3 linked regions of the Kluyveromyces lactis genome follow. The protein of the gene in region 3 interacts with the protein of the main gene of each other region in a biochemical or structural test. Links are inferred from orthologs where the notes say so. Each region holds a gene or a part of one and is shown on either strand. Other genes may lie near its edges.

Region 1 (4,187 bases), on a different chromosome or scaffold from region 3:
ATAGGTGTATATGTATATAGTTTGAGTTTTATGTTTGTGTTTAACCTCGTGACAATACACATACATATATTTAAATCCTAATATAAAATATACTCTATCACAAGAACCGAATCTTCAACTATTCACATTTCATACTTCTTATATATAAAACTAGAACCGAAAACCATCTTAGTGTAACGATACTAACACTCTGTGTGCATATTAATCTCGGGCTAAACGAAGCATAAAAAAGTCAAACCAAAAACAGTTAAAATGCTAAAGATAACGAGGTAACTGTCAGAAAGTCAGTCTGAGACAGCTGTTCTAACCTGATTTCCAGTTTTAAGGTACATTACAGTACAATGCAGATACTCAGCTAGGCGAATTTTTTTTATTTTGAGAATTTTTTGTTGGCTTTTTCTTTTGCATCTTAGAAACGTGTGTAGGACTGAGAGTTTTGTGCGAAATCTTGAGTGTGTGGACTGAGAAACGGTGAAATAAATGTGGTCTGACTAAGTGTCATTGTGAACGACGCCGACACATAGGGCTGTGCCGGGGCCTGTACCCTTTTCCACACAGTAGTAATAATAATAAACATTAGCTTCGGTGATGTTTAACGGCATAAACTGTAAACTATTGGTATGCCGGTCCGTATGTAGTGCATTTTTGCAACACGTAAACTGGGAAGGAGCTAAATTGATTTTTTAAATTGATTTCTCAAATTTAAGGGTGCGGTTTACGCGTTTGTTTACGTTTTTTGACGTTTACGTACGGTACAACGCGTAAAATGTAAACAATTTATGGGGGGCGGGGAGGTAATAAATTACACCTGGTTTACGCGTTGCGATGACATACCTCTCGTTTACCAAGGGCTATCCCTGAGGGCAGGGGCGGCGGTACACTTTGAGCGAGGGGAAATGTTGAATTTCAGTTTCTGAAACTGGGGTGTCCATTTACGAATGCCAAATTCCTATACTATATCCATTGTCCACTCGATTGGCCCATTGAACACTTGTTAGGCTTAGATAATGCAATGTTAAGGTTGTTTTCACCCAATTTTTGAGGTTACTGCCTCTCTATACCGGGGGTCCAGCCAAGCCAATGTGGTCGTTTATGAAAAGTACTGAAAATTGAAAAATTGAATTGCAATTTCAAATTAAAAATAGACTATAAGAGGGAGGGTAATTATGTTGGTATGTTTTGTCACGTGGTTGTGTCCGGGTAATGCGTCTTTCATCTTCTACCCGATTAGGAACTGTAAAATAAAAATCACTTTCGTTTTTCCAATTGATCTTTGAAACATTTACGCATACACTTTCTGCTAATCTTCAACAACTTCTCCGTTATCAGTTTTCCTACTGTCTGCTGCCACTCACACCAACCAACGATTCAGAACACCACCAGTACCATGGCTTCATCGGTTTTGCCCACACTGGATCTCGGAATTGACTACGAGGTAGCTCAAGATAATATCAAAGATTTCTTGATCCATTACAAAGAGGAAACTATCGGTTCTACTGGGGAGAACGATAATGACGATAACTTGGATCCTGAAGTTGGTCAGGGCCCAAAGTACTTGCAACAATTGCAACATATTGCCAATAGAGAACAAGATATCTTGTATATCGAATTGGACGATGTGTACCATTATCAGCGCACCAAGCAATTTGAAAATTTGTCTTCGTCAAATACAGCAGCACAAGGCAAGAACTTAGTTAACTTACACCGTATCATCATGGAAAACACTAAGCGGTTCACAGAACTTTTCTCCAACTGTGTAGATGAACTATTGCCGCCTCCAACGAAAGATATCGATTACGAAACAGATGTATTGGACGTCATTTTACACCAACGAAGATTGAGAAACGAAAGAAATATCTTGGAAACTAGAGATGAATTCCAACAAATGGCTCAAGGGATGGGCGAAGAGTCTCAAACCAATTTGGATCAATTGGCCACTACGGACGCTGATTTGTTCCCTGCTGCGTTGATTAGGAGATATCATTTGTATTTTAAACCGTTAACCAGCAGATCCACTAGGAAACTGAAACCAATGTCAGTAAGAGAAATTAAAGGCTCTTATTTGGGAAAATTGATTACAGTCCGTGGTATCATTACCAGAGTCTCTGATGTGAAGCCAAGTGTCACAGTCAACGCTTATACTTGTGATCAGTGCGGTCATGAAGTGTTCCAAGAAGTTAATAAAAGAACTTTTACCCCAATAATAGAATGTCCCTCTGCCCAATGTTCCGAAAATCAAACTAAGGGACAATTGTTCATGAGTACTAGGGCATCAAAGTTCAGTGCATTCCAAGAATGTAAAATTCAAGAACTATCAGATCAAGTGCCCATCGGGCATATCCCAAGGACATTAACTATTCACATTAATGGGCCATTAACTAGATCCATGATTCCAGGTGATGTGGTAGATGTTACTGGTATATATCTACCTTCACCATACACTGGTTTCCGTGCTTTGAAAGCTGGTCTATTAACGGAAACGTACCTAGAGACACAGTTTGTGTACCAGCATAAGAAAAAATTCGCATCTTTCCAAGTTGATGATCAATTGAAAGAAAGAGTAGCGAAAATCGTCAACCAAGGTGATGTTTATAACCGTTTGGCTAAATCAATTGCTCCAGAAATTTACGGTAATCTCGATGTTAAGAAATCTTTATTGTTATTATTAGTGGGCGGTGTTGAAAAAAAAGTCGGGGATGGTCTAAAAATCAGAGGTGATATTAACATTTGCTTGATGGGTGATCCTGGTGTTGCTAAATCTCAATTATTGAAATCTATCTGTAAAATTTCTCCGAGAGGTGTCTATACAACTGGTAAGGGTTCTTCTGGTGTAGGTCTAACAGCCGCCGTTATGAAGGATCCAGTGACTGATGAAATGGTGCTAGAAGGTGGTGCCCTCGTCCTTGCCGATAACGGTATCTGTTGTATCGATGAATTTGATAAGATGGATGAAAGTGATAGAACTGCTATCCATGAAGTTATGGAACAACAAACCATTTCAATTTCTAAGGCAGGTATTAACACTACTTTAAATGCCAGAGCCTCCATATTGGCAGCTGCTAACCCGCTATACGGAAGGTATAATCCAAGGTTATCTCCACTTGAAAATATTAATCTACCAGCAGCTCTTTTGTCTAGATTCGATATCATGTTTTTACTACTCGATATGCCAAGCAAAGAAAACGATGAGAAGTTAGCAGAACACGTCACGTACGTTCATATGTATGACAGGCAACCTGATTTTGGTTTCGAACCAATTCCTTCGAGCGAAATGAGAGAGTATATTGCATACGCCAAGACTAAGAGACCTGTGTTGTCAGCTGATGTCAATGAACACATAGTTCTATCTTATACAAGAATGAGACAAGACTCTAAGAAAGCGTTGGATTCTAAATTCTCGTTTGGGCAAGCAACACCTAGAACTTTACTTGCAATTATCAGACTATCACAGGCCTTGGCAAAACTAAGGCTCAGTGACACTGTGGAAATTGAAGATGTAGACGAAGCTTTGAGGTTGGTAGAAGTCTCTAAAGAGTCATTATACAGCGACCGCAAGAACCCATATGAAGATGAAAACCCAACAACCAGAATTTACACAATTATCAAGAAAATGGCGACTGAAAATGGTAGATTTAATAAAAGATTACCGTATGATGCTATTGTAAGAACGATTAGATCAAGAGGTTTCACTATGCTGCAACTGGTAAGCTGTATCAAAGAGTATGAGTATCTTAATGTTTGGCATCAAATAGAAGACGGAAACACCTTGCTATTTATTGACGATATTGATGATACAACGGAAGACAATTCTGATATAACTAACCCTTCGACGCAAAGGACACCGGATGAAGATGTCGATATGGAATAATACCTGACTATCTGCATACCACTAATCTGTTTTGATCCAATAATGCCTTTATTCCTTATTTTAGTTTTAAACCTAGTTTAACGACAAATTTGTATTACTATATACTAACGTTTAAGTAACTTCTAATGTGCCTCTTCTCCCAGATAGACTGAACGATGCAGAAGTAATCACAGTCTATCTTTCAAAACCAAAATTAATTTGTCGAATTCAAAATCTATCTATTTTGTGCATAAACCTAGCTTATGCCATCTACTACTTAGTCTAAGGTAAGTTTACATATTTGTTTACAACTTCTGAAACCTCAGAGAGTAGTTCTTGT
Region 2 (3,179 bases), on a different chromosome or scaffold from region 3:
AGACCACCGACTTAACAACTTTGGAGATAGTTTCTTGCCATTTAGCGTTGTTATTGAATAAAGAGTTGCCTGAATCTATAGGTACATCGTTCACTTCATCATAGTCTTCTTCATAATCAATATCTTCGTCTACACTACTTGTGTTCTGATCGACGTCATTGTCGACCCTCTGTTTCTTGGATTCAAGATCAATGTCTTCAACAGATGATTCGAGTAGGTTTCGCTTCAACTCAACAGTCATTTCACCAGTTACTCGGTACGTACTTCGCAGTTGATTATTCGAAGAGTAATCCGATCTCCAGAGTTCTGACAGACGGTAATGTCTCTCTTCAATTCATCTCATCTGCGCTCTCTATGTTTAGTTATCTTCTTTTTTTTCATCTTGCCGTTCCCTTCGGTAAACGTCAACGTGAAAAATTCATTAGAAAGGTAATGAAAACGTATTGAATGATAAATGCGAAGATGGGGACGGTGAGAAGAAAGGTATCGGAGGAAACCATTCATGTGCCATCTCTTAGACTGAGGTCGACCATAATTCTTCGTTTCCAGTTTGAGTATTGCTCTTCTGATACGACTTCATATTCGTCTTGTAACATGCTGCCTATTCTGACGGCGATAGCGTTATCGAAATCCGATCCATCGTAATAATCGAACTTGACACGGAGTTCTCGGTACCATTTCTCACCGTCTATTAGTTCTTTTGTGATCTTGATAGCTTCCATGATATCTTCATCATTTGTTGTTCTCATTTGTGCCGCCATCTTCTTCATTAGCTTGTTATCGATTGTACTGTCCTGATTTCTCTGTTGGTTGAAGACAACGAACGAGCAAAGAAGTACCAGACCACAAACCAACTGTGTAGGATACGCTAGGTAAGTAGCGTTGTTATTGAATTCGGAAATTATGGTAGCTGTTACTTCTTCAGGAAGTTCAAATTCATTGCACAGAGTCACCAGTTCAGCGGTAGACGGTCTATAGTATTTTTTGTATAGCATGTTCCATTCGTTATACTTACCTCTTTTCTTTCTTGGTGAAGGCGTGTATTTAGAAGGGGAGTCACGAAAGGGTGACTGTCTTAATGGAGATTCAGGATCATCCTCAACTGATCCAAACACTTGTGGTATATTGATCATATCAGTCTTATTCTTCGGGGTTGCTAATATGGGCAACGGAAGGCCATTTTCTGTATCAGCTTCAAACACTAATTTCCTCCGGACACTTGACCTACTCCCTTTGCTAGGTGAAAGATCAACATTCTTCAAGGGCTGGATACCACTTTTAGTTCTTGATTTCGACGGAGTCTGGAATAGCTGTTCTTGTAACGACTTCGGATCTATCCCTGTGAATCTTGCATTTTTAACCGCTGACTTTCTAACCGATGGTGATGCAGTATCATCAAACTTCAGCAATTGTCCTTCGGTATCCTTTTGCGGCGAATGAGGCCATATGTTTCTCTTAAATATATTCACAAGTTTGGATACTTGGTCTGGTGGAAGCGGGATCTTCTCCTGAGAATATGGTAGGTCATTGTCATACTTCTCAGCTAGTTTCTGAAACGCAATCAGTGCACATATATGGCACCGAGCAAGTTCCTCTGAATTCTTCAGCATCACTTTCGATACTGAAACGTTGTATAATGTTGCTGTAGTAGAAGCCACTTTCTTTAACCGTTGGTCTTGCCAGTCAACATTAGAATCATTTTTGACCCCTAATAAATCGGTTACACACGTTCGTACTTGCTGCGTAGACATCTTAAATTATTTCCACGGATTCTTAGCACTCTAAAGTGACTAAAATAGGATCATCTACTCACTTGTTGTATTACACTGGCCCGGAAAAGACATATATCTCATCTCATCTCCATGGACCATTTTTAACATAATATTAAAAACAGTCTTTATGTAGCTTTTTGATCTTTTTCTGATTTTCTCGATTTTCTCCAATATTGAAACAAAATATGGTAAATAATGAAATTGAATATTAATCAAAAGTATCATTATTCGCTTCTCCATCTATAAGTTCAGTTTTGGCAATACTTCTAGTATTTCATCTAGCATAAGTTGCTATTCCAGCGTGTGTGTATATTTTAGTTCTCATGAGTGGGTACTATAATAGACAGTACTCTCATTTTCATGGGAATAATGATCGGTACCAAACCGGACGATATGCATATCAAGAAAATGGGAATAGGTACAAGGGCTTCCAACGGAATGGATCAGGGAACCGAAGATACTCCCGCGAGGGGTTTGGGTCTCAACTTAGGAATAATGAGAACGAATCTCGTCCAATACGGTCGCAGTCGCGTGGTATCAGCGAGATTCCTCGTAATCCCTTCGCAACGCGTCCAGTAGTGAGTGCGAAATACGATCGCGATGAGTTTAATACAAAATATCATTATTACGACATTGTAAGTAAACGACTACGAAATGAATCCAGCTTCAAGAAATGGAAATCTGAGAAGATTCCTGAGCATGGATATGTGACAACAACGGAGTTGATTGCATCGGATAAGCAAAAACCAATACTCATGGCCAGGCAGCCTGAACAAACTTCGGTGGATCCGAGAATACGTCCTATGAATGGGGATGCGGTCTCTGGGTCCATTTCTGCGAAAAAGAGATATAGAAAGCTTAGAAGTGCATTGGTACGCAACTCGCGAATTCCGTATGATTCTTTCTACATTGGTCCTGAACCTCCAAAAGAAATCATAGTATACCCTTCTGCATCTAACCAACAACCAATAGCAGCCGCATTATCTGAAGCAATAATCAAAAACTACTTTAAATCATTTGGTGAAATAGCGCATTTTGAACAGTTCATGGATCCAAATAGTGCATTGCCATTGTACGTCTATCTAATAAAATTCACTGGTCCAGTTTCTCAACCTGATGCTCCATATAAAGCTGCTTATAAGGCATCAGAGAAATTCAAAGACGCACCTTACACAGTATCAGGTATCAAGTTCAATGTCATTTTAAACCAAAATACAGTGTTAAATTCAATAAAGGACAAACTAATCAAACAGAACGCAGCCAGAGTGACAGAAGTGAATAAAGCGAAACGGGCCATTGCAGAGAAATCATCCGGGCAGAAACCTCAAGTAATAAGAGGAGTGCCATACGATTTAACTCAAGTTGTGAACAACAGACCAGTTTTGTTTGTTCCTGCAAAGATTACGT
Region 3 (4,313 bases):
CACGGTAAAATAGTAGTTAAAAAAATGCATCCTTTATTATATCTTTCTATCTTATAATTAAATAGTTGAAAAAGCAGTTTCATATTCTACTTAACCGCTACGCTACATGACAACCTAAGTAGCAATTATAATAGCAGCAAAGGCGTCTTGAAGGCATATACTAAAATGTCTTCAACATTTCATCTTCATGCAAGCATTGCTCCGCATCTTCCATGGAAATATTTAATTTGATCGTCGAGAGCCTCTCATTCTTCAAATATTGCCTTACTACAACACCTGCATCCAATAATTGCAATAAAATATAGTCCCAAGACACGGCCCTTAACTGTTCCTTTGTATCAACAGAATCATTTTGGAATAAAATCCGTTTCAACTCTAAAATGTATTTGTTATTCCCATTGACATCAATGAGGAGCCTCATTTCTTCTACGATATCACCAAGTTGTACGTCAGTTTGCTTCTTCTTAATTAAATTGATTAATGCGTATAGGAAAAGTTTTCCGCTAAATGACAGACCAGATATGAATTGTTGTTCCGGAGAGGTCGAACTTTCGTTTAATGCCTTGGTAATATGCTTAATTTCTACACTCTGTAATTCTTCATTTCCTGTACCATTGCCACTAGTATCTTTTTTGGAATTGACTAGTCGCTCATATCTAAGCCTCTTTAAGTAATCATTTTCCGCATATTCTACCGCTCTTTTGACCACCTTTAAAGCTCTCCGCACATCACCACTGACACTAGCAATTTTTCTTGATGCAATCTCAATGGCATCAGGATTAATCCTAAGTTTTAGTCGTTTATAGTTAGAGAAGTCTTTTCGCTTTTCTTCTTCATCAGTTTCTATAGTACTACTATCCGGAGAGATCATGTACGAACTCCCTGTCTCCGGGTCGACATAGAAACTAGATTCGTTCAAATATTTAAGTCTCAAATTGATGATTGTTCTAAGCTCTTCATGCGTGTAACCAGTGAACATAATTCTAGTAAAACCAATTCTGGACGAAATCTTGTTACCAAGATGGCGTTCGGGGAGATCTAAGGTGTTTGCGACAGCTACAACAATAAGTTTCGCATTTGAATAGGTAGCCCAGTTAAAGAAGTTGTACATTACATCTTGGCTCTTGCTAACTAATGCATCAAGCTCATCCAATAACACAACGATAGGACGTTTTTTCGTAGCTGGAACTTTGTTAAAATAAAACTCCAGAGATTCCATGGCAGCTCCAGATGTAAGCTTTTCTCCAGATATTTTTTGCCAAAAGACTTCATAACTATCACTTGCTTTGACAATCTTTAAACCATTGATTTCAATGTATTGGAATCTTGGAAGTTCTTTTTGGTCTGCAGATGTCATTAAATCCTTAACTACCTCTCGAACCGTCAAAGTTTTACCAACGCCTGGCGTCCCGGCAATGTAAATACTGGTGCTAGTGCCTGCTTCAATTGCACTGTAAAGTGAGAGGTATATACTTGCAAATTCATTTTCTCTTGCCGGAAGATAATTGTCGAAATCAGCAGCTTTGACAATTTCTTCTTTGCTATTCCTTGAGTTCAATTGCTTCTTCACCTTAGAAAAAATAGTCTCCATTTTGCCTTTAGCAGAAACTGTTCTGAATCTCTCCTCTAATGCAGCTATATCCAAATCATTATTATGCCTTTGGAAAATATCGTTCAAGTCAGGAATATCCTTCGGATTCTTATACCGTTTGGAAAATGGAGTATATGCCTTTTTAGCGCGCACTATATTATTCTTAAAGAACTTTCTAGGAGATGAATGAACTGCTGATGGCTGCAATGGAGTCTGTGATTTTACTGGTGAAATGGGTATATCTGGTTTAATAGATCTCACCTTTTTCTTGGCAGGTTCTACAATTGCAAGCTCTTCTGCAGACTGGTAATCTTCAAACTCTTCATCACTGTCCGAAGAGGATGCGTTTGCAAACTCTTCTTTACTTTCGTGATATTCAGATAAATCCGATTCATTATCTGATATAGCTTCCTTTTCGTTAACAATAGTAGATGCAATGCGTTGGACTTCAGCGTTGGTTTTGCTCACTGTTTGTTGAAAGCTTTTTTTGCTTGGTGTGTTGTCGGACTGCAATTTCGTCGCCACTACCTTCTCTCGTGCGTGGACCTTGGATTTATTTAAAGGTTTTGGAAGCTTGGGTAAAGTAATATCACGCAAATACTCCAGAGACACCTTAGGATTCGAGGAACGTATTTTTTCTTCAAAGAAATGTATATCTAAATCCGCCAGATTAGTTCCTGAAGGCAAGCATGCAGATCGACATAAAAACATATTAGAATCCATTTTCCCTTCATTGACAGAGTCTAAATACTCCTTTTCATTTTTAATATTAGCTACAAATTGCAAGTCCCGTAGATAAATCTCTGAAAGCTCAGCTGTCAAATACAATTCGTTCTTTATCGATTGTGACGCGAAGGTTTCCTCAAAAAATTTGTCACCTTTTTCCTTATTAGTCTCATAAAACTCTCCATCAAGCTGTTTATATCTTTCCGCAGCATTGATCTCGTACCAACTCAAATAGTTCAAACACCAGAGTTCTACGTAATTGCTTGTATTCAATCGCACCTCATGGATCATATACGCTGATAACTCGTCTGCACCCTCTACCTTGCACACAATCGTAACACCAGGATAAAGTCTGACTCCATCGTATCGTACCAAATTAATCACTTCATGTTCTGTAGCATCTCCTCTTCTTCTTCGCCTAGGAGTTTCAGCAATGAGATTCCCCTTCAAGTCTGTCTTCTGTATTTCCCATTGAACTTCAAACTCAGCTAACGTTGACGCCATGCCTAATAAACTCGCTACCACGGAATAAAAAGGAAAAATAATCAGATAACCGTTAAAATGCAGTAATTCCTTCCTAAACTAGTAGTAGTTACTTGCTGGCCAAGTATGTTGAAATGACAGCTACCTGTTTCCGTAGCATTCTTTTATCTCATAGCATATTGGTTGTTACACGGTTCCTCTGTTTACTGAATTAAGATCGATCTTGAAACATCAAATACGTGTAAAATGATACATAGTTTTCCCATTCCTGACGTCTAATTTTAAACCTTGAACCCTGGCAGAAACAGATCAAGAGATTTATCTCAAGAGTGATGACATGATAAACAGAATGAATTCTGCCAGTCAATTAACGAAGGTGAAGCAGATAAACACAGAAGAATAAAGGCAGCTGGCCTGCTGGAAAAAAAATTGAACAATTTCCCACGTTGATAGAGTCATACATAAGAAGCTTTTAGGAGCTTTATAAAAAGAAATGAGGTTTGGAAGTGTCTTGGCGAGGAATATATCGTTATGGAAATACTTAAAAGTGACCCTAGGACACCTCAACGCATTTGATAAGATGATGTTATGGCTGCGAGTTATAACTTCAGTGGGAATTATCGTTTTTGTCCTTGTTTTGACTGCTATTTCTGCCGCATCACCAAATTCGTTATATTTAGGACGATTGGACACTTCAAATGTTAACATTTTGCAGGGACTATTTGATAAGCTCAGCAGTTCTGTTGTCAGTGCAAAACTGTCTGATATTAATAACGGAGCAGGACTCACAACAGCAGAGATTCTTTTACTCACGCGGTATGTAGACTCACAGGTCCACGACGTGCCCGATTATATAAAGACAGGAGTTTACGGATGGTGCAGCATGAAACATGCTTCTCAAGAATTATGGCAGCCTGACGGTACTTGGAAGGAGGAACATAACTCTACAAAGGCTATGACTTGTCACAGGGAAGGAGCGCAATACTTATTGAACTATAGAAAGCTATTAGATGACCTAGGTTTGGGAATAGTGTTAAGTTACGCATACGGATATACTTACAACGATGGTGTTTTGGATCACGACAATGCAGAAAGTGCAAAATACAACAAATTTTTGGCTGCTTTGTCGAGAAGAAAAGTCAACATGGTCAATCTACTTTACGTCGTGGCAGTATTGGAAGTTTTCATATTGGGATCGATTGTCTTGTACTACATGATCAGGAATAGACCTGAACAAACCATGAAAACCAAAATCCTCCTGCATTCTATATCACTAATGAAACTATTGGTGTTTATTTGCTCTTTAGTAGCAGTCATAAACTTTACTATACTATCAATCAACATTCGTCAAAAGATTTCGAACGAACTTGATTCGTTTGGGTTTTCATATCATCTTGGAACTGGTTGGTTCACATGCTTGTGGATCTTTGCATTTTTCAATATTATATCGTGTCTCGTCTGGACGGGTTTCGAGTGGTGCATCACGAATAATGATCCGCCAGTGCCAGCGGAA

What was found.
Region 1: the proteins of ORC1 (region 3) and MCM7 form a complex in vitro, tested with the Saccharomyces cerevisiae proteins (2 studies listed by BioGRID). The link is inferred for Kluyveromyces lactis from reciprocal best matches to the Saccharomyces cerevisiae genes ORC1 and MCM7.
Region 2: the proteins of ORC1 (region 3) and ORC6 form a complex in vitro, tested with the Saccharomyces cerevisiae proteins (3 studies listed by BioGRID). The link is inferred for Kluyveromyces lactis from reciprocal best matches to the Saccharomyces cerevisiae genes ORC1 and ORC6.

What each region holds. Positions count from the first base shown.
Region 1 is NC_006041.1:2,065,526-2,069,712, reverse strand, and holds MCM7 (DNA replication licensing factor MCM7), read left to right. Parts: upstream 1-1,387; coding exon 1,388-3,868; downstream 3,869-4,187. Other genes in the region: KLLA0_E23211g (uncharacterized protein), read right to left, coding at 1-66; AAH1 (adenine deaminase), read right to left, coding at 4,130-4,187. UniProt on the Saccharomyces cerevisiae protein: Acts as a component of the MCM2-7 complex (MCM complex) which is the putative replicative helicase essential for 'once per cell cycle' DNA replication initiation and elongation in eukaryotic cells.
Region 2 is NC_006042.1:2,246,166-2,249,344, forward strand, and holds ORC6 (origin recognition complex subunit 6), read right to left. Parts: upstream 1,752-3,179; coding exon 501-1,751; downstream 1-500. Other genes in the region: NMA111 (Nma111p), read right to left, coding at 1-241; histone methyltransferase SET1, read left to right, coding at 2,096-3,179.
Region 3 is NC_006038.1:453,225-457,537, reverse strand, and holds ORC1 (origin recognition complex subunit 1), read right to left. Parts: upstream 2,822-4,313; coding exon 161-2,821; downstream 1-160. Other genes in the region: ECM7 (Ecm7p), read left to right, coding at 3,294-4,313. UniProt on the Saccharomyces cerevisiae protein: Component of the origin recognition complex (ORC) that binds origins of replication. It has a role in both chromosomal replication and mating type transcriptional silencing. Binds to the ARS consensus sequence (ACS) of origins of replication.